Linked DNA regions of Saccharomyces cerevisiae S288C. The gene in region 3 interacts genetically with the main gene of each other region. Each region holds a gene or a part of one and is shown on either strand. Other genes may lie near its edges.

Region 1 (8,302 bases), on a different chromosome or scaffold from region 3:
TAGTCAAAGAACGTGATTTAGCTGCAAATAATTTGAATGGTGAAGTTGTCTCTGTGCCAGGTGGCTTACAAAGTGATTTCGTTCGAATTGCGTACGGAGATGGACTGAAGAATACAAAATTAGGTTCTGGTGAAGGGGTCTTGAACTATGATTGGAACATAAAAAGGAACGTTTTGAAAAGTCTATTTAGTATAATTGATGATTTACAATCCTAAGTATTTTCATTTACGATGTATGTAAGATTTTTACTTATTTTTTTTAAAGTTTTGGTCGTTGAAAAAGGATTCAGAACAGGCAAAGATTATATATTAACGATATATATGAAAAATGAATGACAAATTTATAAGGAATAAGTTGAACATTAATAGCTGAGAAAATTAAAACATGGAGAATAAATATATTATAGAAAACCAAAATTTTTCTAAAAGAAACAATATTATTACAGGAAAATATTCGATAAAAATTTTTTTTGAACCCATTTTGTATATCATTTTCTTGACCTATGATTCAGCTAATTTAGTATTTTCCATTTCTTGAGTGCATGGAATTTTTTTATTTAAATGTTGCAGAACATGGTCTCTTCTCTTGAATCTTTTACCGCATCTTGGGCAAGAATGGGGTTTCTCACCGGAATGAACTGACTTTTTATGTCTTGTTAGATGGTGACCAGAGGAAAACTGTCTATTACATTCCCGACAAATGTAAATCTTACCATGATCTGACATAATGACCTCATTTTCACCGAACTTAGAAGAATGCGCTTGATAATTGTTGCCGTTATTGTTCATTGAAGATGTACGATAGTTATCATTATTATTAGTATTATTGTTCAAGATTGATGGATTAGATTCTTGCTTGTTACCCGTGAAACTGTAATCAAAATTATTACTGTCCAGATTGCTATTATCATTACCGTTGAGTATTTTGGGTTTTTTGTGGAGAGGAGAAAAAGATGGACCTGCATCTAAGGGATTAATATTATTACTATTTTGGCGAATTCCAGTACCGTTTGAATAATCGTTGATTGTGGAAGAATACATGAGTGGATTGCTTACACCCAACGGAGATCTATAGTCATTTACAAAAGAAGATATAGGGCTCTTTGAAGCTTCTCTTGAAATATTTAATGTAACCACATTATTCCTCTTGAGAAATGGGATGTTAGATGTTGAAGGTGATAAGGGTGCAAGACCTGAATTTAATGGATTTTTGGAGTTGGTCAAATAAAGAGATAGGGGATTCGGACTGTATGTTGGATTAGGGGACACTATGGATAGATTGTGAGGCGCTGATGTAGTTGTGGCAGCAGCCGTAGTCACACCGTTAGAATAGCTGTTGCTACCGTTGCTACCATTACCACTGTTGTTGTTCATCATATTGCCATTATATGAGGTGTGGCCGTTCGGATTCATTGGTGACGACAGCGGCGGTAACGTCAATCTTGGTGACGCAGTAGCGCTGTTAGCCAGTGTCGCTAAACTTAAAGCTAACATATTGTCATCGTTATCGCCGCCTAGACCTGAAGTCCCATTTAAAGTGGACGAATGCATCATTGAAGAAGGCACAGTGGAAACGTTATTATTACTACTACTATTATTAGCGCTATTATTGGTACTGCTAATGTTATTATTGATAGATGCGGCTGCAGAGGTGTTAATGCCATTGGCGTTAACATTATTGTGGTTTTGGCTGCCATTTGTAGTTGTCGATGGGTTGGTTGATGTAGCCGTTATATTAGATAGTAAGGAGTTTGTATTAGTTAGAGAAGGGGTGCCAAAATTACTAGAATTAGACGGAATATTCATCTGCGGTAATTGCGGAGTTAAAACTTTCCTTTTGAACTTGGAACCCGGATCATCCAAAGTGGGTTCCACAATATTTGATAAGTCCATCATCCTTGATAACAACGGGGAAGAAATTCTGCTTATGGTAGTTTGATTCATGTTCAGGAACTGGTTTACACCATTAGGGGTAGTAGACCGAAGAGAACTACTTTGCGGTCTGTTCATATTAATATTGGAGAACAAGGGGTTCTTATTGTCTTCTAAATTTTGTAACTCTTGAGAGGAATGGTTTAGTAATTCATCAAAACTTCGAACTTTTTGAAATAAATCGTTATCATTATCAGTAATGGAGCCTCGTTGCTCCGACTCATTAGAATCATAAGATAAATTTGAAAACGGACCAGATTTTCGCTCTTCCTTCTTGTTTCCACAGCCGCATTTTAAAGGTTGCTTTCTAACGACAGCTTGCTGATCTAATATGAACTCAATAGATTCGCCAAAATTGTAACCATAATTGAATCCGGAGTACATGCAATAAGGGAAAGTAATGATGAATTCATGTTGGAACTGCACCACTCTATTAAATTTTATATTATTTTTTCGCAAGAAATCGGGAGAAGTTATGATGTTTTGATGTCTAATAAAAGCTGGACAATTTTCCTTATTACTTGATGGTTCCTTTGATAAAATTTTCAAAAATTGGTCTGTGTTTGCGGACGGTATGGAATACCATTGTTTGGGAGCACCGAAATGCAAGTAGTTTATAGAGCATTTATTCTGTTCGTCCAAATGCCATGGAAAAATGCATTTAGACTGACCAGTAAGTAACCGTCTGTTACTTGAGTTTATAGAATCTGGCAAATTATTCAAATTCCATAAAGTTAAATCATAGGGGAAAATTGAAGAGTTTTCGTCCACTGCATAAAAAGGTTTCGAAAAAGCGATGGTTTTCCAAAAATCACTTTCTAAAATTTGTAACTGTGCCAAATCATAACAATCCTGCTGACTATCTACGCGGCAATTTTCCTTTAAAGTTTTATCATTAAAATCACCTTGACTTATTCGAGAGTCTAGACTTTCGGCCAAGTTCTTCCACTGTGTTAAATTGTACGACTTATTGTCATACTCGTTTTCGATGCTAAATACACCGTTTTCATGTTTGTCCCATCGCTTGGCTTGTTGTTGAATCGGGGAGTCTAGTTGTATAGTCTTTAAACTTTCCGCAGGAGGTGAGCCTTCTAAAAGCTCCAGCCATTCTTTGGGAGGAATGACTTTGACAATACCATTTTCTATTCCGAATTTAGTAATTTCATCAATGAAATATTGGAAATTTGCAAACTCCATCATAGACGGCTTAAAAACCGGAACGCCATCAATAACCTCAACTGGCTTGATTTCCATTGTAGTCTGTTTTTGTAGCTATTCTTCAAATTAAAAAAAAAAAATTACAACGATGTTGTTCACTTTGTAGAAGCAAATACTTTTTAAACGCCCAACAAAGAAACAAATAGTGAAAAAAATTGAAAATTGGAAAAAATTGGGAAATGGAGGTTAATGATGAACAGAAAGGAAAAACGATGAAATATGTGGTGGGCAAAGAGTTTCTGTAAGCAAGAGACTTAGCGAAACAAAAAAAAAATACAACTGGCCAAACGTATTATTACTTGGCTATTTTCTTCCTAACAGACCAACTTCTTTTGCCTTCTGTATGGCGGGAGGAGGAGGGGGGAGGTTTTCTTCTTGTTTTTTCCGTTAACTTTTTCCCGATATGCGTAGAAGGATAATAATTTCAAATACACAACTCACACACGCGTTTGTACTTCTACCTCAACACAAACGATAAACGTTAAAAACTTCTCTTCAGTAAGTAGTGGTAATAATCCTAAACAGAGAGAAAATACTGTTTTCTTTTTCGGTTTGCTATTTTTACCTTTCCTTTCCTTTCTCTTTGGTGAAAAACCGGATCGGATGTAAACGTAAATGCCAATTCAAGGGACCTGTAAGACAAGAGAATGCGAAGCGGTAATAGTGGCAGTTGTAACCATTTTCTAGTCTTTCTCCGTAAAGTAGTTACTTGCCACAATGCCGCCATAGTGCGGAAAACAACGAAATATAATTCCTTGAAGCACAAAACGCCACCCCTTCCCCTTGCCCTTGCCCTTGCGGACGCCCTTTCCCCTCAAAATTTTTTTCATATTACGTCTCCGGCTTCGCTCTCTTACTCTTGGCGCCGGGCGGACCCCGGCAGGAAGGGGAGAACCCAGCCCCTTCCTACTCAAGGCTCTGCGCGGCGTTTTCTCCACACCCCACAGGGCGGGGTAGAGCCGTGCCGGGTGATACACATCATCACATCCTATATGAAATCTATATCATATCACATTGGTATACATAGTACAAAGGAAGAAAAAAATTGTAATCATTAACGGTCCCTGCTGCGCTGGCTGAGCAGCGTCTCTGCATGATTGATACCCGGCAGATCCAGCGAGGCACGTGCTCTTTCCACGGAGTATCTTGTGTCCAGTTGGTGGTTGGCAAGCATCTCTTCTCTTGTGCGATCCAGCGAAGTTCTGAGCTTATTTCCGCGGGCACTGGCCATTGATCTTCTAGGCAAGTTGTTCGTTGTTGTAACGGGGCTGAGCTGGTCACGGCGTTCCAGAGTGGTAGAGACACGGTACCCCTTGCGCGAGCCTTGCTCACCATTGAGTATACTCATTGGTATTTCCTCTGTGACTATGGTCTCTTGTGAGTGGCTGACACCATCAAAATGAGTGTCCAGTGAAATGGGCTCTTTGAAATCTGTAAGGGGACGTATTTCGTTTATTCTGGGCCTGCTAGGGTCCGTAGGGTCGTAGCCTTGTGGGTAGAGGTCAAAATCACCGCGTAACCACATTTCTCTAACGATCTCTATATCTTTCGGATAGAATATCTTTCTGATACAGTCAATGGTGAATCTTGGCAGTAGGCAGAACAGCACGCCAACGAAAAGTACTGCCCAATAGGCAGGTTGTGCGAATACACGCGCCGCACCCTTGTAAAATTCGTTACTTGACGACGAGCTTGTCCATATACCCGTCCAGCCGTAAAACACGGCCAGTGATAGACATATGAATAGGCCACAGAACCAGTCCCATCTATACTGTTCCATGAAGACGTAAAAGTTACATGAAGTGACTGCAATTGCTGTAACGAAGACACCGACAAAGTAACGGTGGTCTAGTCCAAGGCCATTTTCAGTTACAACCATGTTTTTATGGTACGCCAAATAGGGGAAAAAGAAGCATATCACAGATTGGTATACACCATCCAACATGTACCAAAGAAATTTGGTTTGGTTCCATTCTTTTCTTAGGATACCCACACGGTACAACTGTGGCACCAGCATCGAAACGGTGTCGGAAACATCTTGGTCGAGTACTGCTAGTAAAATAACAGGTACGGATGTGAATGCAAGATTGTAGAATGTCAAGTACGTATACTCAAACAAATACGACCCATCGAAATTATTGTAAATACCATACCAGAACAGGGATAGCGTAAAAATAACGTTCTTGTAGAAAAACTGTGGGATCATCTCTGCCAGTCTCTTATAACACCATTTACCATGCACCAATACCAGTCTTGTCACATATCTGAACTGCCCGATGGCATAATCAGAACACATGACAGCTTGTCTGCCTTCTTCACCCGCGATACCAACACCAACGTCCGCCGATTGAATCATGGCTACATCATTCGAACCATCACCAATGGCCAAGGTCATAACGTCTAAGGTCTTTTTTACCAACTTGACCACTGCAGCCTTTTGTGCTGGAGAAACTCTGCAACACAAAACAGCTTTACAATTCTTACACAGTAGCAAGAACTTGCGTCTCATTTCTTCACCATTCAAAGCAACTTTTAGCGCATCGCCATCGATAATGACAGCAAAATTTCCCTGTGGCAAACCATGCTCTCTTTTAGCTTCTTTTAACTCCTCCTCGGATCCACTCATGCCAAATTTTTCCCTTAAGTATTTTGTCACCAAATTGTTAACCACTTGAATAGGGTCACTACCAAATTCTTCTACATCTTCGCCGGAAGCCTTCACAACCAATAATTCCATATCATTGTTCAAAACATTGCAGGAAAAACCAATGTTAATGGCAGTTTCCACTTTATCACCCGTTAGGACCCATAACTTAATACCGGCCTCGGCCAAGAGGGCAATCGAATCAGGAACACCATCTTGTAAACGATCCTCAATGGCCGTACCACCAAGCAAAATAAGCTCACGTTCAATAACGTCAGTAACTTTGTCCAACTCTTCCTCCCTATTAGTAACGGATGCAGCGGCCACATCATAAGTCTTAACCCAACGTTCATACTCGGACCACGTGAGCTCTCTTTGAGCCAAACATAATGTTCTTAAACCTTCTGTGGCATATTCTTCCAAATGGAGGGCCGTCTTTTCCAACAAAGTAGCGTCGTTTTGAGTGCGATCTAATCTTGAATAGATAACGGAATCCGCACCTTTACATATTAACAGTGCTTTAGGTTCATCCTTTGGTGTAGAGCCAGGGATCTTGATAATGCAACTCATCCTTTTTCTCGACGAATTGAATTCAAGTACGTTCAGAACTTGGAACTCCTTTTGAACACCCTGGATCTCTACTATCAATCCACTTTTTGAACTACCAACGAAACTGTACCCTAATTGTCTGGCGGTGGAAACTAAGGCAGACTCATCAGGTGATTGAGCCTTGATGTCCAGTTTTTTAGGATCATCTTTATTTGGCTCCACAAGGACAGAATGACATAATGCGAGCGCCAGCAAAAAGTGTTCACAGCACTTTTGTTGATGGTCGCCACTGGATCCTTTCAAGTCTTCCACAATTTCCTTAGATACAAAAGTTAAATCCTCCGGACAAAACTGTGTATTATCACTCATTGATCTTAATTCGTCGATCATTGTTTCCCTATCTTTTGCTATCTCTTCCTTTTCGCGACGACCTTCCGATTCGACATCAACACCTTGTCTCTTCCTCAGGCCTGCTAGTGCCTCCGTATAGGCACGTCCATAAGACACACCGTTAATAGTACATTTTTTGAATTCCATCACATTTTGTGTCAAGGTGCCTGTTTTATCTGAAAAAATATACTCAATTTGACCCAAATCATCGGAGATGTTCCACGACTTTGGTGTACATGGATAGTCTAGCTTGGCATTATACAACAAAACATCAGTGTAAATGAAAATAGCCTGTGCTGTCTTAATAATTTCCACAGAAATATATAAAGAGATCGGAACCAATGACTGATAAAGAATAACCGCCACCCAAAAAGAAACAAAACCGTTAGTTGAGGCAGAACCTCCAATGGTACCAAATTCAAAATAATCTCTCGATCGAGGTTTCTGTTTATAATAAACACCGTTAACAATACCAGCAGTGAAACATAGGATAAACAATAGTACAAAATTCAAAATCACAGAAAAATTCAACTCTCTTGAAATTCTGGATTTTTTGGTTGGAGTGACACCAGCGTTTATCATAATCTTGGTATCGTCACCAGTAAAAATAACCATACCCATGGCCCACTTAGTGTTTCTCAAGGTACAACCTCTCAATAATAAGTTATTGATATTTACAGGCTCATTTCTGATGTTTCCATTTTGTGTATCTTGCCATTTGAAATTACCTTGATAAGAATACAAGTTGGCATGTGGGCCTTCACTTTCAACCCAAAACTTCGTCCTGGTAATATCCCTTGAACTCTTAATAATCTTGCTACATTTTAATGATTGACGGACCTTTAGATTTGTTTCACCATCCAAATTTTTGGTTTCCACATAACAAGCGCCATCAACATCTGATGTCGATAATAAGATCATATCAGCAGGAATTTCATCGTTATTGTGAACACGAACAATATCACCAACTTTAACATTTTTCCAGTAATCCTTGGCAAACCTACATTCAGGGTTTGGCTGTAGCGTTCGATCAACTAAATTTTCACCATCGTTATACCTGTTAGCCTGTGACATTGTTTGATTCAGGTTCTCATAATCCAAAGAGGGACGACCAAAGTCGGCAGACATTCTGTAACTACCAATTGAATCCAGAGACCCACGTGGCCCAAAGCTTCTCGAGTTCCTCTTCCTTCGTAATTCTTCCCTTTTTTTCTGTAACTTCTTTTCTCTACCAGCAGCAGTGAGGTTTTCTGAAAAATACTCAAAAATTTTAATCAATGCCCTTGTATTCGCTTTCTTGAAACGCCTCCATAAGGAAACGTTATCAACAGCAACATTTTCATTCTTCACCCCGCTTAAGATATGTGTTCTTGTATTATTAACTTCTAAATCCAATACAGTCCTTCTGGAATCTTCGATACCATCCTTAATAGCAGTGATAATTACGATGACAATTAGGGGAACGGATGCAAAACCTGGATTTGTCACACCAAATATTTGAAAAGCACCTAGAATCAACAGTATTAAAAAGTAAATATTGGCAAAATTATGAAATTGGAAAAGAATGTTC
Region 2 (7,592 bases), on a different chromosome or scaffold from region 3:
TGTACACCAAGCCAGAACAAGTTTACAACGTCTACAAGGCTTTGCACCCAATCTCTCCAAACTTCTCCATTGCTGCTGCTTTCGGTAACTGTCACGGTTTGTACGCTGGTGACATCGCTTTGAGACCAGAAATCTTGGCTGAACACCAAAAGTACACCAGAGAACAAGTTGGTTGCAAGGAAGAAAAGCCATTGTTCTTGGTCTTCCACGGTGGTTCCGGTTCTACTGTCCAAGAATTCCACACTGGTATTGACAACGGTGTTGTCAAGGTCAACTTGGACACTGACTGTCAATACGCTTACTTGACTGGTATCAGAGACTACGTCTTGAACAAGAAGGACTACATAATGTCCCCAGTCGGTAACCCAGAAGGTCCAGAAAAGCCAAACAAGAAGTTCTTCGACCCAAGAGTCTGGGTTAGAGAAGGTGAAAAGACCATGGGTGCTAAGATCACCAAGTCTTTGGAAACTTTCCGTACCACTAACACTTTATAAGTTAATTCAAATTAATTGATATAGTTTTTTAATGAGTATTGAATCTGTTTAGAAATAATGGAATATTATTTTTATTTATTTATTTATATTATTGGTCGGCTCTTTTCTTCTGAAGGTCAATGACAAAATGATATGAAGGAAATAATGATTTCTAAAATTTTACAACGTAAGATATTTTTACAAAAGCCTAGCTCATCTTTTGTCATGCACTATTTTACTCACGCTTGAAATTAACGGCCAGTCCACTGCGGAGTCATTTCAAAGTCATCCTAATCGATCTATCGTTTTTGATAGCTCATTTTGGAGTTCGCGATTGTCTTCTGTTATTCACAACTGTTTTAATTTTTATTTCATTCTGGAACTCTTCGAGTTCTTTGTAAAGTCTTTCATAGTAGCTTACTTTATCCTCCAACATATTTAACTTCATGTCAATTTCGGCTCTTAAATTTTCCACATCATCAAGTTCAACATCATCTTTTAACTTGAATTTATTCTCTAGCTCTTCCAACCAAGCCTCATTGCTCCTTGATTTACTGGTGAAAAGTGATACACTTTGCGCGCAATCCAGGTCAAAACTTTCCTGCAAAGAATTCACCAATTTCTCGACATCATAGTACAATTTGTTTTGTTCTCCCATCACAATTTAATATACCTGATGGATTCTTATGAAGCGCTGGGTAATGGACGTGTCACTCTACTTCGCCTTTTTCCCTACTCCTTTTAGTACGGAAGACAATGCTAATAAATAAGAGGGTAATAATAATATTATTAATCGGCAAAAAAGATTAAACGCCAAGCGTTTAATTATCAGAAAGCAAACGTCGTACCAATCCTTGAATGCTTCCCAATTGTATATTAAGAGTCATCACAGCAACATATTCTTGTTATTAAATTAATTATTATTGATTTTTGATATTGTATAAAAAAACCAAATATGTATAAAAAAAGTGAATAAAAAATACCAAGTATGGAGAAATATATTAGAAGTCTATACGTTAAAACCAGAACGTGCACAATTTTTTTAATCTGCCAAATGGAAAAAACGGAAATATACGGAAAAGAAGTTGAAGTAATAGTTAGAAAGGCAAAAAAGGAAAGAAACAATTTAAAATATCTTAAGATTATATTAGAAACAAACACCAATGTTCATTTCATTCCTTAGAATATATCCGAATGAAATGACCAACCTACTTGTTTTGTAAACTGAGGAAGAAAGAATATTATTTCTCCGAAAACTTGTCATACCGTAGCTTGTCTTGCTTTTATTTGCTTTTGACCTTATTTTTTTCAAAAATCACCGTGCTTTTTGTGAGTTTTTAGATGTTGTGATAAATTGTCACTTCTACTGAATTTTTTCTCACAGAACATACAAGCAAAAGGGCGTTCCGTTGAATGAACGGATCTTATATGCCTTTTCAAGTGCTCACTGCGTCTGAATGCCTTCTCACAGTCTTTACACTTGAAAGGTTTATTTTTATCGTAGTTGTTGGGGTCAATGGTAGTAATAGATTTCCTTTTCCGAGGTTGGACAGGAACCTTACCATTGTTGTTGTTATGAGAAATAGTTGGACTTAAAGTAACACTTGACGACTTTCTTCTTCTTGTGTTTGGGCTTACCGTTGCCTGTTTAGTAGGTTGTTGTTGATGATGTTGAGCTGCATGGTGAGCTTGACTAGTAGGAAGTATTTTGAACGAAGAGTTCATCGAGATATCATAGCTTCTTCTTTGGAAAGCTGGTGTAGGTGTGATATTATCAACACCAGAAGTCGCCAATTTAGCGGCAGCAGAGGCATTATCCGACAACATCATAGAGGGTTTGATAAACTGTTGATCCTGAGCCGGAGATGACTTGAGAATGTTGAAGGGGTCTACGTTATTGTCGAATGCCGACATTGTGGTTGCATCTAAGCTATTGTAATTTAGCGCACCAAAAGCATCGTCTTCATTTTCTTCTGAAAGAAATGATGCGGAATCAGACAGAGGATTTGCCATCACCGAATCATTTGCAAAAGATTCAATATCATGAATTAAGGGCAAAGAGGCACGCTGTTGCCTTGTGGTGCTACTGCTATGGGAGATGCGATTTAAAGAAGAGGAAATGCTTTTTGGCTTTGTTATACCAGAGTCCTTAGAAAAATCCATACTATAACCGCTCAGAGCTTGAGAAACGTCATGATCTAATAATTTGAAGTTTGGATTAGAGTTGTTTATAGTGGTAGTAGGTGAAATGGTTGATCCACGCCTCTCAGTAGTGGCAGTACCTTCAGGGATAATTTGTTGAGTGGGTTTACTGTTGCTACTATTTTTGTGATTGAGATTCCAAAACTCTATCGAATGAGAGATCGAATTTCTAGAATCCGTCATAGAAGGAAAGGAAGAGGTAACCACCTCGCTGTATCTTCTTGCGTCGCGACCAGCGTCCGGCATGAACTTCAATGCTTCTTCTGAAGATACAAAATCCTCTAAGATTGATTGCATGCTATTAGTATTATCATTATTGGTATCGTCTAGATTATAATCATTGTCGTTCAATCCTGTTGTACTGTTGGCGTTGTTTGGTAACCTAGCATCTAGAAACAAATTGGAATATATTGAAGGTTCTGCCTCAAGAAGGTTTGTCTTGGGAGAAGTTGCATGTTGGTGTGGCGATAATTCTATATTTTCATTAAAATGACTGTCATTGATAGGATTCATTGGAGAAAATACCTTTTCTAGTTGCTCCAAGTTTTTCAATTCGTCATTTAAAGCTTGAGGGGTGGCTACTGAACTATATATCTTATCACCACCATTTTTCTTACCATTAGCATTACTGCTTTGTTTCTCACCGTCATTCACGAACTGTGCGTTATTGGAATTTTTCCACTTCCAGTTGGTAGCTAAACTGGCGGTATCCTTTAAATTCATTAAACTATTATTAGCAGTCGTATTAGTTGTCGCTGTTAAAATTGGAGTATTAGTGGCGTCCGTTCTATGCGGAGAATCCATTGAGAATTGACCAAAGGTATATTCCGGCGAAGATATGCTATTGTTCGCAGAATTGTCATTAGAAGAAGTAGCAGAAACGTTGGTTGTGCTCAATACCGGGTCCATCAATCCGTTTGGCTCGTTCATTATAGACGAATCTTCTTGTTTCTTGTTTGCGTGACGAACGAAACTACTATTAGGTCCGAAGACTAGCATTATATTGTTTTTAATAAGAAGAAAAGAAAAAAAAGCCGAACTGATAAAGGCGTTAAATATTCAAAAAGGAAATTTCACGTTTTAATTCTTTTCTCTATAAATGTTAATTCTCTGGAAATAAAACGGAAAGAGACGGAAAAATTCTTAAGCCTGTTGACCAGTTGCGAAAAACACATCACAGAACTGCAGTTGCTTGTTATATACAAATTTAGACAGAAATAAGATGCATAAAAATAAAATTTAAGTACCTACAGGTATGCTCATGCATCTAAGGGAAACATGTGTAGCATCAAGAGGGTAGAAAGGCCCGCAAGCGGAATCCCAGAAATAGCCATAATACTTTTGATAGATAAGAGACCTTTGTTAAACGCTCTTAAAAGGGTGGGTTTGGTTTATCCGGAGAATAGCAATGCGCAAACCTTATTGCTCAAGAGTCCTAGTTCTAGCTCGGGTTTTCAGGTTCTAAAAATGACCAGTACGCCGCCAGCAGTGAAACCTCGTGGGAGAAAGCCGGTTCCTGCAGCCTGACATTTGCGCTGGGTTTTCACGGCACCATGCCTAGCAGCCCTGGCCACTGTCATCGCTACCAACCGCTTCGTACAACAGTACCCACCAGCAGCCGGCTGCTGGCCCCACATAGAAATTGTTACGGATCCGTCCCCGCGCTCGTACTTTACAGCCAACCCCACCTTTTTCCCTTTTTCTTGGTGTGCGGTTGCCGTTCCTTCGAGGAACGGATCTTCGGGCTTTTTTTGCCGCGCTCAAAATGCCCCGGAGCGGCACTTTCTATGTATGTTTTTTTCTTTCATTTTATTATTTCCTAGTGCTGGCAAAATGATTGCTTGGAGCTCACAATACCTGTGAGGAGACCCCTTCCCCTTTTCTTTTCCCCTCCCCTGATTTCGGAAAATCAAAAAAATCGTTACGCTTGACAATTATTCCTTTTTGAGCGATTATTTTTCAAATTTCACAACTTCTTTGCCTTCAGAGGTCCTGGGTGCCTTACATCGTAGCATTTATGTTGCATCTTTTATCGAAAACATAGCTCTTTACGCGCTAAGGAAAGAAGTTGACAGCAGCTGGGTACACTAGGCAAGGTAGACGTTTTTATCAACTGTCTGTAGATAGATTCACTGCATCCTTATACTGCAAGAGATGAAAATTTTGAAAACCCTTCATCTTTTGCGGCTTTAAGCTTTCAATGAAATGTATGTTAAACAGTGCTTATCTCCTGTTTTTACGCGCAATAACGCCAGCGGCCTTGTTTTCCTCTCTTCTCCGTTTAGCGTTAGCCATTCGTTCAAATGAACGCTAAAAACATAAGGGCTACCCTTAAAAACTCCGCTATGAAGGCAAAAAATATAAACAGGGTAAGCACCTATATGTAATTTGGCACGACGTGAGCAATTTCATGTTGTGCAGCGGGATAGCAAGCTGTGCAGCGGGATAGCAAGCTGTGCAGTATTCTAACAAAAAAAAACACGAAGAAAAAGAAAAGAATAGCGAATTTCTCAGTGACAGTCTTCCAATCTTTCAGAAAGGCAAAAAAAGTGATTTCGTCATTAACATTAAGAGTTAGCACTTTACCAGAGTGCTATTGCCTTCCAACATACGTTCCTCCCCTCCAAAGTAGTAGTACTATATAGATAAAGCTAGGGTATTCTGAGCAAATATAAATCAAACTAAAGTGATTCATAATTATAGAAAATATGCAGGGCGATATCAGAAGGAAAAAAGATCTTTTACCTCGTTATAAAACAGGAAGCAAATATAATTCCAGAAGAAGGGGCGGTTATCTGACTACCCCTATGAAAAAGATTATAGTATACATTATACTGTTATGTGGCGTTTATTTCGTTATAAAAGTTGCCTATTCTGATCTGAATAAAGAAACTGAGATCAAGCTAGAAAGCCATTCTTCTGATGTTTCTGCAAGTGCAAGCGATCATACCAATATTGCAGCCGGCGGTGCAGCTGATGCGACTAACAATAAGCAACCACAACAAGCTAAAGTACCTAAAGAAAAGTTCAATAATGAAGTCGCAAAGCAACAAGAAGTAAAGAATTTGGAGAACGATTTGAAACCACAAATTGATTCAGAAAAGCAAAAACAAATAAACAAGGACAAAAAAGAACAAAAACAGCAACTCCAGAAAGAGAAACAAGATCTCGCCAAGGAAAATTTGGCTAACAATGAAATCCTTGATAATTAACCAATTCAAAACTTCCAACAGTTTGGTGATGAAAATAATAAATGTTTTACGTTAACCTTATTGATTAACCTCACCTCCCTTATTCTTTGTATAGTATAAGTGCATACTAACATACTGTGTACGTACATAAAGATATGCAGAACGTTCACAAACATGTAGAAACCAGACACGAAAAAAAAAAAAAAAAAAAACATAAATAGATTAAAGATATTTATCACCACAAGTATACGATACGGCGCTGATAATTTACAATTCTATCCTTCGGGAAAGACAACAATAATTTAGGCTGATAATTAAAATCGAAGGAAAAGCAAGCGCTAATGCGCGAAAAAACACTTAAATTAAAACCCGAATCTTCTCTTAGTATACATATATGCAGAACATGCTAGCATACACATAAAAAGCACAATGCCTATAAACCATGTCAACGAATCCCTGTATTGTCCGGGCACGATAACATTCATACCCCACAGACCCGTAATCACATTCATTGGCAGAACAATAGTACCCAGTATGGTAATTTTTCCCAAAACGTCGTTCATGTCATTATTAACCTTCGTCATATCAATGTTGATTTGTGCCAGATAATTTGAATGCGATCTACTTAACAGTTTTTCATAATGGTTTAGCGATGAGACCATGGTTACAATATGATCTTGAATATCACCCAAATACATTGCGATTTCAGATTGTGGCGAAGCTTCCCATTGCTCATTATACCTTTTGGCAAATCCTTTTATCACATCAGCCTTGGATCCTAGCAATCTTAGTATACTCATCACTCTTTTACGGCATTCACCAATCCGCCTCAACATATCTCCTTTTCTCTTCCAACCTATCAAATTTGCATTGAATGACGCTTCAGAAGTGCTCATACTTCTTGAACTCACACTAGATTTTGCACTAGAGTAGGACGTCTTTTTAGAATAGACATCGAACGGAAATGCATCCTCATCGCTAGCGCCCGAATCGGAATCACTATCGCTAGAATCGCTATCACTAGAATCATCTGACTGATGCATCTTCAAAATGGCGTCCTCAATCTCATAAACTTCATCTTCGATAAGTTCTATCATAGGGGCAAATGCGTCTGTAATGTCATCGATTAAGGCATACGCAATCCAATCAGAGGTAACATTAAGGTAATCCTTTAGTAGTCTTGCTCTTCTTCGAACATTAATAGGATGTGGTGTGGGAGCAAAATGAAACGTCAATACACCAGTTCTGAAAACAATAATGTAAACATTCAATGGCTCTAATTCTCCCTCACGTGGTTTGTGCCTGTCTCCTGATTTTCTTTTGAATTTTTCGTTCTCTTCCATCTTTTTCTTTTCGCTTTTGACACGGCGTTTATAGCTTGATGATGATGTATTGGTTGTTCTATTTGCAGATGACCGACGGCGTGCACGTAAAATCGATGGAAGCCATTTGCTCCTACTTGCATTGCTTGTACTGTTATTGTTATTTGCATTTGATTCATTTGACATAGTAGCACCATAGGCTTGTGATTTACGACGTGAAATACTTTCATGATCCAAGGTAGCAGATTCTTGCTTTTCTTTTCTCCTCCGACGAACATGCTTTTCTGCTACAATATCGAAACTTCTAAAACAAATCAGGTAATAATCTCTAAATAGTTCCACTTTCTCACGAACTTCTCCCAAAAAAATATCTTCTGTAGTTAAAGGGTGAATTCCGAAAGCTT
Region 3 (11,146 bases):
TTTTCCGCTGAACGACATTTAGGAGACAAATTCTGGTAATATTTCAGTTGTTGACTAATATATATAGTGGTTTTTGCCAAAATTAAAGACTTCCTTTTATTAACTAGGTGACCAGATATAAGGAAGTGTATTTGCTTTCTAATAACTTGTGTACGGCCATAACCCGGCTTTTAATCAGTTTATTTAACAAGGTATACAAATCGCCAAACGTAACAAGAGATAGGCGCTATTATTCATTTAATATTGTCGTATTCAAAATACTAACGGTGAACAATTTGCTCCATTGTAACACTATAGGACAAGGCTAATCATGAATAAATATCTCCCCACCCAAAATATTCGTAGCTCGCGATATTCACGGTAATATTCTGTAACTTCATGTTAAGAGATGATCTTTAGGAAGGCTAAGGAAGGGTACACATAGAAGTGAGATAAAAAATAGGCATTTGAATTACTGTAACATGGTTTCGATAAGAAGGTATTTGCGAGTGCCGAATGAGTTGAAACCTTCCCAGATCTTCAAACAAGATTCTCTCTCTCCAAGTAAGATTGGACTTCAAATTGTTCTTTTACAGATTTTTTATTACACCACAGCGATCGTTCTTTTTTATTGTTGGGCGAAGCTAGCGGGATATGATCTCAATATCAAGGAATGGCTGTTTTCTTGGGAGAATATCGACTTTACGAACGCATACGGTTTATCAATCTCACTGTTATGGCTTCTGGATTCATTAATATGTGTTTTTTTCTTAACTGTTATCGTTGGACGGAGTAAACTCGCATGGGATTTTGCTATCACTATACATGCCATCAATTTTATTGTGGTGTTCCTCTATACTCGGAAATTTCCTTCTTTTTCTTGGTTTTTTCTTCAAATTTTATCATCTTTAATACTAATATTTTTGGGGACATGGACAACAAGATGGAGAGAGCTTAGAGACACCTTTTTTGAGGGCTTGGTTGATCCTAATGAAGGAGAAGTTGGATTGGTTACGCCTAGTCAGCAGCATAGTAATCATTCAGAATTGGAGCAATCACCAATACAACTAAAAGACTTAGAAAGCCAAATATGAGAGGAGATGAAACAACATATTCGAGGCAATTTTGGCAATATTATAGTCATTCAAGAGAAAACAGTAAATGTATGAAAAATGGCAAGAACCTTATCTCTATAGGCTTAATAAATCTGCCTTTTTGGCCAATTTTTCAAAACAGATCCTATTTCTTATTTATACACAATCTATATTTAACATAATTAAGTACGTGATGACATTGAAGATAATAATAAGTAAAGAGTTTACGTACTTAAATTTTATATAGTTTTAGTATACTTGCAATGTGTGAATGGATCTAGTAAGCTGAGGTACTTCTCTAGCGTGAATATGAAACGAGTAACAGGGTGGTACATAATTTACGAACAGAACTCAAGTTGATAAATCCTTTGCGTTCTTAACCATTTGTAAAAGTTCGTCAACAACATTGAAAATATTGCTTCGAGCAGATGTTTTATCGTTTCTGCAAATTTCCAGTCCTGAACACCTCTGTTGTCGTAAATGTAATAATGCCACACTGGATTCGATTCTAGTAATTACATGATCAAAAAATAACAACGCATCCTTCTCAGAAATCGATTGCATAATACCATTTTCAACTTTAGGGTTAAATTTAATATAACTTCCCTCCGTCCGAGAGTCTAGTTCAATAAATCCGCCGCTTAAAGCTGACATTATAGATTCCAGTCTGTTTGAAATGACTCTTAAACGAAACAACATCGTTTCATTGATTAATTTTGACTGCTCATCTTCAGATGCAAATTCGTGTCTGGAAGCAAGAATCTTAGGATACGCAATAGTAACGAGTTCTTTGGTTTCGAGTCCCTTTAGCTTATGCTCGCCAAAGTCAAAAAATGCCCAACCAATACTTTCCAGCATGGCAATTTCTCTTTCAAGAACCTCTCCGATAATTTCTTCACCATAAACTTCCTTGAGAGATTCCTTGCCCTTCACTACTCGCTCATGATACTTCATTATCTTGTTGAATTCAGAGTAAAAATCACTACTCATTGCAATCTGACCACCGTCAGCGACGCCCTGGACCCTTGCTGCCTTATTGACCATCGGCCCCAAATAGTCCATTCTTTGAGTCACTAAATCAAGCTCTGGAACTGGGCAGCCCCAATGAATACCCATTCTAACTGATAGGCCTTGATAGATAATGTTACCATTTCTATCCGTAACTTGGCAGCCGTCTTGAACTGAGGTAATTTCCTCCGGCCATTGTGCATCCAAGAGTTTTAATTGAACACTTAAGCACCATGTCAGACCACTAGTTGGCGTAGGAAATGCCACCATAAAGGCGTCTCCTTCTGTCTTTACTTCGTAACCACCGTAAATTCGTAGTTGACGACGCATAATGTCATTGTGAGTTTTTATTGCGGTCCTCATTGCGTTAGGGAATAGCTCCCATAAGAAGGTTGAGCTTTTGATATCAGTGAAGACCATTGCTAGGTTACCTGTTGGCGGAGAAATCTCAGGTTGAAGTCTTCTTAATGTAGTATCCTCGAAAGTACTTCTTCTAGTCATTAAAGAGTTTTTATTTAAAGTGAACCGATTTTGTTGCTGAATGTTCTCGTAAAGAGCAAGGCACAAAATTGTAATATTCTCTGTACAGCCGTAAGCCATGGCATGATCCTTCAACTCAGCTGCGGCACGGAGTGGATCAGTACTATTCTCACGCGCGATATCACAAACTGTATCCACGTCCATGTATTCCCATAACTTATGCGTTGCTACAATAAGCATCTCGTCTGCTTTTGTTAATGTCACGACAGATATGTCGGGAGAAGCATGAATGTGGGGAAGCAAATCAAAAAAACCCACTGCTCTAGACACATCTACAACACCATCTAATTTTCCATTGTTGACATACCCGCCAGATATTCTGATCCTCTCGTATTCTTCCCGCTTTGTTGGGAGATGTTGTTTGGTTAGCGTTTGGTAGTCACCATTGTTTTTGGATAAAATAGCCATACAGTCACCTAAATTTGCAGCGAAGAGTTTCTTCCCTCTGATATATATCACAGTAGAGCAAGCGCCACTTAGCAAGTCTGCATATGAAAGATTGGCAACATCGGCACCATTATCAACAGAATTTAGCATTCCGTTAATCTCCTTATTCAGTTGCAAAAAACTGAAACGAAGTGCAGTTTTTATATTATCATCTGTTTCGTCTCCATACCTTTCCAGTTGTCTGATCAGTATTTTATCGTAAATATCTCTAACAATTCTTGATATATTGTGGCCATAATCTGCATTTTGGTTTTTACTATCATGAAGACATAGTAAGCATTCGTCGTCATTTCCGCGGAATCTTTCAAAGGTAACATCACGAGATGACACATAGTCTCTTTGACCTAATGTATCAGCAACACCGTAGCGCATCCCATTTATTATTGATGCAGTTGTCCTTAAACGGAAATTGACATTTTCATCCGGTACTTTGGTAGTATTTAAAGTTACGTCCATTAAACCTAGTACCTTTAACTGAGGTAATACTGTCAGATCTGACAAATCAGCATCAATATCGTGACTTATAAATGACTTTATTTCAAACCTTCGATTTCCTGAAAAATTCAAATATTTTAGTTCTTTATTATTCCTCCAGTTCCAATCGTAATGATAGTTTGATATATTATACTTTAATTGATTTGCTCCAACATCAAATACACTTAGCTGTGAGAGATTTGATAATTCTGCAGGCAGAGATAACATTTGGTTACTATTCAACATTAAAGTCTTTAAAGAGCTCCATTTCAAAACTGTATCACCCGACAATGTCGTGAGCTTATTACCGGAGAGGTACAATTCGGTAATGCTCTCAAGTTTCATGTGCGATACATCTGAAAAATTGTTGTAAGAAAGATTTAGCACTTTCAGATTGACAAAGCAATTGAAAAGAGGCCACATAGCATCATCAAATTGATTGTCTGCAGCAATAAAAAACATCAGGCTTTTAGATAACTTTGACCCATATGACATGTTATGGTAAAAAGAATTTTCTAAGCTAGAGTTACCGAATGCATTCGATGAAATATTTAGCGATGTTAGTTCAAGGTTTTCCATACCGTCAACAAAGTCCCTTATGTTGTTAGAATGTAGATCTAATGTCCTCAAACTTTTCAGTTGAGATAGCTCGGGTGGAATATACTCTAGTTTGTTTCTCGCCACTGAAAGGAAAACTAATTTAGTCAACTTGGATATCTCCTGTGGCAGTCTAGTCAAATTATTCTGATTAAGTTCAAGTTTCTCGAGGAAAGATAGTTTGGTGAGTAATTCTCCAGGAATACTCGATAACTGTGCCTTGTTCAACGTCAAACTTGTCATGTTTTTTGGATAAAAATCTTTGAAGGATATAGAAGTGATTGGATTCTCTTGAATTTCAAGGGCTCTTAGTTTCGGCAAAGTGTCTTCAAAGTTCGAAATTCTATTATCTGTTAAAAAAAGGTTCTGCAAGTTAGACGCATTTGTCTTAATTGATGATATTCTGTTATATCTTAGGTTCAGCGTCCTCAAATCTGTCATTTCCGATAAGTCGCCTATAAAATTTAGTTTGTTATGAGAAAGGTTCATCTTCGCAAGCTTTACTAGGTACTTAGTGGACTGTGGTAAGCTTTGGATTTTATTATATGATAGGTCTATTTGTAAAAGATTGGTGCAGTAGTTAATAACTTCTGGGTAGTGCATGAACTTGTTTGAAGACAAGTCTAGCAATTGCAGATTTTTCAGTTCAACAAATCCAGCCGGTAGGCTTTCAAGCTCATTACATTGAAGGTTTAATATCGTTAAATTACTCAGTTTCATGATTGAGTTCGGTACTTTTCTTATGAAGTTTCTCTGTAATTCCAAAGATACTAGTTTATACGCCTTAGTGATATTGGAAGGAAATTTAGATGCTCTAATATTAACCATTCTCAAACTTAATAATTTAATCGAGCTTTCAATGAACTCCAGAGGTAGGAATATATTTGCGTTATTAGAAACGTCTAAACTTTCTATTTCTGACGTATGCTGGTAAAAAATGATGGGAGGTGTAGTCAGATCCATATTCCTTAAATCTACGTGAACAAATTCGCTTCTCATTATTCTTTGTTCTTGTTCAGGAGTAAAGTGAGAAGGTGTGACAGGATGGAAAAGAAACTTAAAAACAAAACTTAAATCCTCTATACCCATAATATGAAGTGGGTCTGACTTTCGATAACCATTCAAAAGTAAAAGTTTTCTTTCAATTAAAATAGGTTTCGAAGTTGGTCTCAAAATTTTTGACAACTTTCCCACCTTCAGGGAAATTTGAAAATTCCCTTGCGCTGTAATGTTAAATTTTCTTTTAAGTGCAGGTATTATCTCTTCGACGGTAGTCGCTGGAGTACATGAGAGAGTCGTAAAAGTGTCATCAGTATTGAATATACGAATAGCATAGTGCCTCTTTGGATCTAAATCACTGAAATCTTTATAGTAATGTTCCAGTTGGCACTCGACCTCATCGTCCTTCTCATCTTGTAGTAATAATCCAGAACTCTGGGCACCATCTGGTGAATTCATATTTACCGAAGAGGATGTAAATTTCTTGGTATACGATTTCGTTTTATTCAGGATCGGTGTTTTATTATCCTGCTCTCGGTTGGCCTCCATATACGCGTTAGTGTACGAAGAGGAATCGCTGCAGGAAGATGTATCTTCTGAACTAATAGATGAGGACGGTAAAGATGAGGAAGTGGAAGACGTGTCGTAGTCCCCATCTAAATTTGATGGAGCATATCGTATACTTGGGGGACTCATAGCCAAATTACTTTTTAAGCGGTTCACAGATTTAGTATCGAGTGCGGTCTTGCTATCATTCGGAACGTTTTCTTTACATATATCAACAAAACTTGAGTTACTGTCACCCGCAGTGACCATTGATTCGTTATCCTTTCGATCGTGATGATGACGAGAGTCTTTTTTTGAAGGTGGCCCCGGTGACATGGGATCAAGTTCATCAGCATCTATACTTGACCTTCTTGATTTCGATCTCCCTTTAGGTTTTGTTTTTTTCCTTTTGGTTTCCACATCCCAGCTTTGAGGTGCTACCCATTGTGATCTATCATTGGAAGTTGATGTGAATTCACCATTAGGTGCTGCGGCAGCGACGGAGAGATCAGCCATTGACACCGACTTCCTAGGACCTTCAGGCATGATCACCGTTTTGGGTGAGGCAGTCTCAGTCCCGTGTGTAGAATTTAGTGTAGAATTGACAGCGGTGGGTGGCACCGTCTTTGTAATATCAGTAACATCCTCAAGGTTTGTATCTAGCCTGAAAAGGGATGGTTTACATGAAATGGGTGTTTCTATAGTAGGCGTTGTGGCTTCGCGTTTGTTGTCAGAGTTAGAATTTTCCGGAATGTTCTCATTATATTCTGGAGTCACTTTCTCGGATTTATTATTAGTGTGATCGGCGGATTCGCTGTTAACGCTGTCCTTACTTTTAGTAGTTGGAGAAACATTAGATACGTTATGTTGGAGAACATGACTACCCGACGTCGCCATACTTGCACTGTCACTGTTAGTCATTGAACTGACATTTGAACCTCTTCTACTGCTTGAAGAAGATGTGGAGCCTAGCAGAAAGCTTTTTCTGTGCGAGCGTTTGCTATTGGGAACATCGGATGAATGTAATGTATTTTCTGATTGCGCAACAGCCTTTGGTCTAATCTGTTTATCTGCAATACCATTATTTATATCATGGACGGAAGAACCACGTACCAATGAGGACACTTTCCTTCGTAAAGTGCTTGGCACGTTATCAGCCAAGTGATTAGATAAAGTGGAGTCTTTAGAAGGTTTCCTATTAGCAGGTGCAGGATTTACCGTTGAAAGGGAAAGGTTAGCAACTTTACTTTCCTTTCCTGACTTATTGCCATCGTGACTGTTTGACCCTGAAAACCTTTTGAATAGGGTTTCCGCTAATGATGGCTTCCTATTGGGAAAAAACTGAACATGATGATGATCATGATGACCGTCATGATGGTTATGAGTAGATGTGTAGTTGTGCGTCTTGGATGAATTCAAAGCGTAACCGTGGTCTTTATTATCATCATGAGTACTATTCGCGCTCGTCATTGAAAGACTGCTCAATGTTTTCTTCAGTAAATATGGACCCCTTTTGATTTTCGGTTCTGTCGGCCTTGGATGTTCCACGTTCGAAATACTTACATCATCCATACCATTTGGAGTGATACTCTCCCTGCTTTTGGTCATAGAAAGCGACCGTGGGCTGTAATAACTATATGCGCTATTCCTTCTTGATTTGTGACCACTATTTTGTTCGTGACGCTTCTTGACTTTTGGTACCTCATCATGAATGCTTCTATCGTTTGCTTCCGTAGGTGAGCTCTGCTCTATCTGTTGTTCTTGTTCTTCCTGTCGCTGAGGGCCAGAAATTTCCGAACCAGTATCAGGTTTTGATGACATTTCGACCTAGGGATTTCGTTTGCTGTTGCTTTAGCTCGTTTCGCAATGGTTAGCGACAATAGTAAAGATATGCTATTTTTGGTTGTGAACTGCAGCAAGAGGTCTCCTTATGCTTTCTCTCCTCTGTTACTATACTTCCCAGCTGTCTTTACTGAACTTTGGAAGAAAATACACTTTTTTAGAGTCGCTTTTCTTATGGTAAGTCCCCCCTGCTTTCCTTCCAAAATACAAAAAAAAAAAAAAAAAAAAAGTAAGAAAAAGGAAGTGAAAAAATAAGGTTATGATTGAATATTTAGGTTTGATAGAGGAGAAAGTAAGGAAGGTCTCAGTTCAGTCTGCCATTCCAATTTGAAACATAGAATTTCAGTGATTAACAATGCAATTGAACAATTGAACACAGAGAAGAAGAAGAACGAGAACTGACTCTAAATCTGGCATTTTATCCTTTTTTATGGCTATTTACATTGGGAGCTAGGCGAAATGCATATTTGTTTACTTTCTGGCATTTACAAAATCATTTTTTAAAGGGTATGACCTACTCTAATGCGCTTTTCTGTAGAACAACGCAGGGAACGGTATTTGATGTTTTCAATGATGTATGACTTATATAACATCTATTTCCTAGGATTTTTAAATAAGATGGAGGGTTGGCCGAGTGGTCTAAGGCGGCAGACTTAAGATCTGTTGGACGGTTGTCCGCGCGAGTTCGAACCTCGCATCCTTCAGTATTTTTTGTCCTTATCTTTTTGCTGCACCGAAAGCACTCATGAAGTCTACGGCTTGATGCACACCGTTTGGGAACCTTTGCGATCCCACGTACCTAAATGGTCCTTTTCGGTACAACTTGCTGAAGAATCACTGTGTGGCGGGTAATGCTCTCTTTATACTTGCATTGCGAAAATCCGCGATGATCAAAAATCCAAACAAGTACTGTCCTGAAAGCCGTCTTTATACACATAGATATATATATATATATATATATATCTGTATCTATAGAGCGAGAGGAGATATAGAGCCAGCAAAACTAAGAAAATTACGTACTTTGATATGCCTAGCACGTTTGAATCCCAGCTTTTTTTTTCGAGACCGTTTCTGTCTAAAAGGCAAATTCAAAGAGCCCAAAAGAATACAATATCGGACTATCGAAATTACAACCAGAAAAAACTTGCCGTGTTCAAATTTCTAAGTGACTTGTGTGTTCAGCTGAAATTTCCACGGAAGACTTTAGAAACAGCAGTATACTTTTACCAAAGATACCACCTCTTTAATCGCTTCGAGACCGAGGTTTGCTACACTGTAGCGACAAGCTGCCTGACTTTGGGCTGTAAAGAAGTTGAGACAATTAAAAAAACAAATGATATATGTACTTTGTCATTACGATTGAGGAATGTGGTTAAAATCAATACGGACATTTTGGAAAATTTTAAAAAAAGGGTATTTCAAATAGAACTTCGGATATTAGAGTCATGCTCATTCGATTATAGAGTCAACAATTACGTTCATATTGATGAATATGTTATAAAAATTGGTAGGGAGCTATCCTTTGATTATAAGTTGTGCAATCTGGCTTGGGTAATTGCTTATGATGCTTTGAAGCTAGAAACTATTTTAGTCATACCCCAACATTCCATTGCATTGGCCATTTTGAAAATAGCATATGAATTACTAGATAATAAGAATTGGTCAAGTAAAAGGTATTCTTTATTTGAAACAGACGAGAAATCCGTAAATGAAGCTTATTTTGATATAGTCAATTTTTACATCAATTCATTCGATATGTGCGATCTACAACGTCATTTACCGGCTGATTTGCTGCCGATTGGCGTTGAAAGGTTTATGGAACTGAAAAAAAACGCAGGACCAGAATCTGGATTGCCGCAAATACCAGATCACCTGTTGAATGCCGATCCTTATATCACTATTACTAGAGATAATAATGTCCAAGAAAGAAGATATGTACTTTCACTGGAGCTAATTAATGGCGAGTCCAGCATAAATAGTTCTACAAGACATGCATAGAAAGTCCTACTATAAACTTAAATAAGATCATCATTATAAACTTTCTTTTACACAAGTAATAAGTACCTTTTTTTATCTCAAAACATGAATGTTGAGCTTCGAGGTTTAATTCACAAAAAAAGAAAATGTGCTCCAGGGGAGGTTCGAACTCTCGACCTTCAGATTATGAGACTGACGCTCTTCCTACTGAGCTACTGAAGCATACAAAGGATGTTGGGGAAGAAAAACAAACTTTACATCAAATATTTGCGGATTCCATGGTTATTAAAGGATATAGCACCGGGTATACAGGACATACTAGAAGTTCTCCAGGGGATCTTGTAATCCACAAAAGAGAATTGATATTTTCACATAATATTGTCATTATTGTTTCCCCAATTTATATGATATCATTCATTATTCTGTTACACTATCAGTCCTGGCATTTCAGCATCTATTAAATCTGATGACTGTTTTCTCAATCTTCATGCCATCTTGGTACATCGTACATGATAATATATTAGTAATATGAATACTATTCGATAGATTATAGTTGATCCTCATTAGGACATCTATCGTAACAATGGGAATGTTCATATCATACATTAATTTATACGAGTTGTTCAGACAGTAGTATAAGGCAAAGATCTTTTACTTGAAAGGTTAACTTAAAAATTTTGGATATAGAAGTCATTATACTAGGCGCGTAGTATTTTACTGATGTGTTTCCAAGCTAGGGCATACTGAATATGTTCTCTGGGCGCGTGTTTATATGCTTTTCTTATATACAATAAGAAAAGTTTACTTCTATTCTCGGTAAAAACATTCTTACGGCTTGACCACTATTGATGGATATGGTTTATTGCTCATAGGTAGAGGTCAAAAAGCTTTATTAATGAAGATTGAATATCGATCTTCTTAGACTTATATAAGGGGGATATAAAACACACGCCGATTGGTTCATTCCTAATTGTGACCAATGTAATAGTGGTTCCGGCAGTTCTCATACATTTAATGTGAAGACCTGTATTGCTCATATATATGACTATCAGATCATATTCAAATAATGGATTTTTAATTCTGCTTCGGTACTGTCTGAACTGCTTCTTGAACATTTCCTTCTGTAATAGGTACATTGACAGACATATGCGTGGTGTATACTAGCATAAAATGTAAGCATCGAAATTGTTACCAATTGAATTCATGTTGATATCTAATGATCACTTGTCCGAACATTTTGTATTATTAATCAATAAAGAAGCTGCCGGATTTAGATAATTAAAGAGTTGCGAGCACATTTACTATTTCAATAGCTTATTTTATATAAGCCAAGTTAATGGTGTTTTTGTCATTATTAACGGTATTCGAAAATGTTCATCACCTCCGCTAGTGGCAAAAAAAAGTGAAGAAAATAGTATAGCATGATGATGTTCTCACTTTACAGATACCGACAAGACAACTTGAACCTCAAGGGCAATAAAATCATCAATTAACCATGTCACTTAGATTGCCACAAAATCCCAACGCGGGATTGTTTAAACAAGGCTACAATAGTTACTCTAACGCCGATGGCCAAATTATTAAATCAATTGCGGCCATTCGCGAATTACATCAAATGTGTTTGACTTCTATGGGACCCTGTG
Region 4 (3,735 bases), on a different chromosome or scaffold from region 3:
TTAGGGGTGATCCAGTGTACATTCATTATCTTGATCCGTGATAATTTTCCATTCAATGCGTTTTTAGCGGGATTCATTATTTGTGTGGGACAATTCGTCCTATTGATGAGTTTGCGGTTACAATTGTGTAATAGTTTTCCAGGCATTTCTAAAAACAGAGCTTTTGCCGAGTTTATTGTTGCTAGTTTGATTTTACATTTCGTTTGTTTACATTTTATAAATTGAGGAAGGGTTTGCCGGCGTGCTTGCATGCATGCTTGTATGTGTATAGTATATATACTTTGTACGAGAATAAAAGAACATATTACAATTGTACATTATAGAAAGCTTACAAAAGGTGGCAGATTAACCATTAGTATTAATGTTTGGTGGCAAGCAACTCTTTTACTAGATACACAGCATAGGAAAATGGATACAAAAAGATGCTGGTGAAACCAATTGAACAAGTAAGAATAGACTTGCAATCAAAACCATGTCATATCAAGAGAGCAGGATCATTTTCAACAAATTATACAACAACCACCACTAGATTCTTTTCTAGCGTTGGCGCTTGAATTTTTTTGTGGCTCAGCAGACTGTTTACTTCTCGAATTTAAGGCATTATTTTGATTACCACGACTAATATCACTTCGATTTCCGTTGCCGTTACTGGAGTACTTGGTATTTCCTTCATTGTTATTGTTTTGATTAACGTAATTCTTTTCATCAGTTCGTTTAGTAGTTTCACCGTTATGGTTAACGGCTGACTTTGAACTGGAGCCAGTGCCAGCATTGGTCAAAGAATTATCGAGTACATAAGACCCGTTGTTCTTTTTTTCTCTATCCGCTGTTGCAGATGAGGTTAGCTCCGAATCTCTTATTTCATTCGTATTATCCAGTTGACGATTCATGCTATTGTATTTCCCACCGTCGTCCCTTACCAAACGAATAAGGCTATAAAAGGCCTCGTCTACGTTGATGGCTTGTTTCGCAGACGTTTCTAGAAAGGGTGCATTCAACTGCTTGGCCAGGCGTAACCCGTCTTCATAAGAGACTTGTCTTTCATTTTCAAGGTCCAATTTGTTACCTACCACGACTACAGGAATGTAGTCAGAATCTTTTACTCTTTGAATTTGCTGATAATAAGACAGTAACTCATCAAAGGAATTTCTAGAGGTGACGGAATAGACCAGTAGGAAACCTTCCCCAGTCCTCATGTACTGTTCTCTCATCGCAGAATACTCTTCTTGTCCAGCAGTATCTAGAATGTCCAAAATGGATACTTTGTCATCGATGACAACTTGTTTTCTGTAAGAATCTTCGATAGTAGGGTCATATTCGTCCACAAAGTATGATTGAATGAATTGAATTGTTAAAGCAGATTTACCAACGCCACCTCCACCGACAACTACTATCTTATACTCTCTTATAGTTGATTTATTTCCCTGCATGTCGTTCTAAAAAGGGAAAATTTTGTTTACCTGTTCAATCGTGAAATAGCCAAACCGAAGTCAATTGTGGCAGCAGTTAATTAAGCATTGCAAGAAAGAACAAGACAGATGATAATAGAGACACCGTACAAGAAAGAATCCAAATTAAGAGAACCATACAAAGACATAAAATATAAACCTTTCAATGTAAAACAAAAGGAGGAAAAAACCTGAAAAGCCGTGAAAAATTCATAATCTTGCGATGAGTTGAAAAAGTTTGTTGTCAAATGTCCATAGACTTACATGTAGTAAATATTTTTGGTTTCTTTTTTTTTCTTCGTGCTTTTTTTTTTTCCTACGGGTTTACATTGTGCCAATGTGAATTTCCCCGCCACTCCCTACCGAACGGGTAGCAGCGTAGAACATAGCGATCAAGGGTGTGCTAAGTGAAGAAGCAATTCAGTGCGGGTAATACATATTCCTAGCCTCGTTTGCCGTTACATTGCATTGATGGTACAATAAAGGGCATGCTTTATATCGAGATGTTTCAGTGTATATGAGGGGAAACAGAAAAGAGTCATTCCTGCCATTTTTTGGTCACTGCTTTTTCTGCTATGAGTAATGGTGAAGTTCCTTGTGGCTACACGCTTAATGTCATCGGGTTACTGCTCCTAATATCCGCATATAAGCTTTATGCAGGGATCAGTTGGGCGGCTATTTATCTACACCCAGTCATCCGGCGTGACTGGATCTCCACTTGCCGCAATAAGTCGGTGGACAAATGGAGATTTAAGAGTAAAGATGCATGATGGTATAATTCCTTTAGTCGAAATAGATATATTTCAAGCGCATATATAGGCAGACGCTTGTACTGTAGAAATAGCCGATATTCAATTGCGCTCTATGTGTGTTTTTATTCCAGGTTTTCCTTGGATTCTACGTATTGTACGACTTTCTTATCCTCCACAAACGTCATCGTGTCAGTAATGTCTTCAGACACTTCATTATCAGAATCTTCATTATTGAAAGAAGAGAGTGGGAGCTTGACCAAGTCTCGTCCACCTATAAAATCAAACCCTGTACGCGAAAATATCAAATCATTTGTGGCCGGTGGAGTTGGCGGGGTATGTGCGGTGTTTACGGGTCATCCCTTCGATTTGATTAAAGTGAGATGTCAAAATGGACAAGCGAATTCCACGGTACATGCCATTACAAATATTATAAAAGAAGCAAAAACTCAAGTAAAGGGCACATTATTTACCAATTCCGTAAAGGGGTTCTATAAAGGTGTTATCCCGCCCTTATTAGGTGTTACTCCCATATTCGCTGTTTCTTTCTGGGGTTACGATGTGGGTAAGAAACTGGTTACTTTTAATAACAAGCAAGGAGGCAGTAACGAGTTAACTATGGGACAAATGGCTGCAGCAGGATTTATCAGCGCTATTCCTACCACTTTAGTGACTGCGCCAACGGAAAGAGTAAAGGTTGTCCTGCAAACATCTTCTAAGGGCTCTTTCATTCAGGCGGCTAAAACCATTGTTAAAGAAGGTGGCATAGCTTCTTTATTTAAAGGTTCATTAGCCACTTTAGCAAGAGATGGGCCTGGCTCAGCTCTATATTTTGCATCTTATGAAATTTCAAAAAATTACTTGAATAGTAGGCAACCTCGTCAAGATGCGGGCAAAGATGAACCGGTCAATATCTTGAACGTGTGTCTTGCTGGTGGTATTGCTGGTATGTCGATGTGGCTAGCTGTTTTCCCCATAGACACTATAAAGACAAAATTGCAGGCTTCCTCCACGAGGCAGAATATGCTTTCCGCCACAAAGGAAATTTATCTACAAAGAGGTGGTATCAAGGGATTTTTCCCTGGTTTAGGTCCTGCTTTACTAAGATCTTTCCCAGCCAATGCGGCCACATTTTTAGGTGTGGAGATGACTCATTCACTGTTCAAGAAGTATGGCATATGATTAAATTTTTGTTAGGTGGACCTGCCTCCCATTTTTTTCTGGCATTCCTTTTGGGAACTTTTTGTTATTTTTTGGTTCTGCAATTTCGTTCAGTGTATGGTAGAAAATATCAGTTGGGTTATCCCGGTTTCCTTGGCGTTGTTGTCGAAGCGTTCATATTTGTAACGCAATGGAGTAAATATAAATGTGATATGTAAAAAAAAGAGTTATAATTTATTCTGTTTCTTTAAATAGTATAAATAAAAAAAGTGGAAAATACAAAGACAACGTGGGCTGATTACAGTATAATCAACCGATATGGTTTTGCCAACCAGCAGGCTTTGGCAACTTGTTTATATTGTAGAATTTAGTAGTAC

The links.
Region 1: of CYR1 (region 3) and GIS1, extra expression of one is lethal in a mutant of the other (dosage lethality), as found in Saccharomyces cerevisiae (one study listed by BioGRID).
Region 2: of CYR1 (region 3) and MSN4, a mutation in one rescues a mutant of the other (synthetic rescue), as found in Saccharomyces cerevisiae (one study listed by BioGRID).
Region 4: of CYR1 (region 3) and RAS1, a mutation in one rescues a mutant of the other (synthetic rescue), as found in Saccharomyces cerevisiae (one study listed by BioGRID).

The regions. Positions count from the first base shown.
Region 1 is NC_001136.10:632,022-640,323, reverse strand, and holds GIS1 (histone demethylase GIS1), read right to left. Parts: upstream 3,186-8,302; coding exon 501-3,185; downstream 1-500. Other genes in the region: mismatch repair ATPase MSH6, read left to right, coding at 1-215; aminophospholipid-translocating P4-type ATPase DNF2, read right to left, coding at 4,204-8,302. UniProt on the Saccharomyces cerevisiae protein: Transcription factor involved in the regulation of gene expression upon nutrient starvation. Recognizes and binds to the post-diauxic-shift element 5'-T[AT]AGGGAT-3' in the promoter region.
Region 2 is NC_001143.9:319,310-326,901, reverse strand, and holds MSN4 (stress-responsive transcriptional activator MSN4), read right to left. Parts: upstream 3,675-7,592; coding exon 1,782-3,674; downstream 1-1,781. Other genes in the region: fructose-bisphosphate aldolase FBA1, read left to right, coding at 1-494; BLI1 (Bli1p), read right to left, coding at 790-1,131; YKL063C (uncharacterized protein), read left to right, coding at 5,384-5,887; putative Mg(2+) transporter MNR2, read right to left, coding at 6,229-7,592. UniProt on the Saccharomyces cerevisiae protein: Positive transcriptional factor that acts as a component of the stress responsive system. Recognizes and binds to the stress response element (STRE) which is involved in the response to various forms of stress (heat, oxidative, osmotic, etc.).
Region 3 is NC_001142.9:421,516-432,661, reverse strand, and holds CYR1 (adenylate cyclase), read right to left. Parts: upstream 7,506-11,146; coding exon 1,425-7,505; downstream 1-1,424. Other genes in the region: COX16 (Cox16p), read right to left, coding at 1-18; SYS1 (Sys1p), read left to right, coding at 462-1,073; CTK2 (Ctk2p), read left to right, coding at 8,553-9,524; YJL007C (uncharacterized protein), read left to right, coding at 9,650-9,964; chaperonin-containing T-complex subunit CCT8, read left to right, coding at 10,999-11,146.
Region 4 is NC_001147.6:512,939-516,673, reverse strand, and holds RAS1 (Ras family GTPase RAS1), read right to left. Parts: upstream 1,431-3,735; coding exon 501-1,430; downstream 1-500. Other genes in the region: OST2 (dolichyl-diphosphooligosaccharide-protein glycotransferase), read left to right, coding at 1-225; CRC1 (carnitine:acyl carnitine antiporter), read left to right, coding at 2,396-3,379; alpha-1,2-mannosyltransferase KTR1, read right to left, coding at 3,668-3,735. UniProt on the Saccharomyces cerevisiae protein: The S.cerevisiae Ras proteins modulate the activity of the adenylate cyclase catalytic subunit and therefore affect the biosynthesis of cyclic-AMP.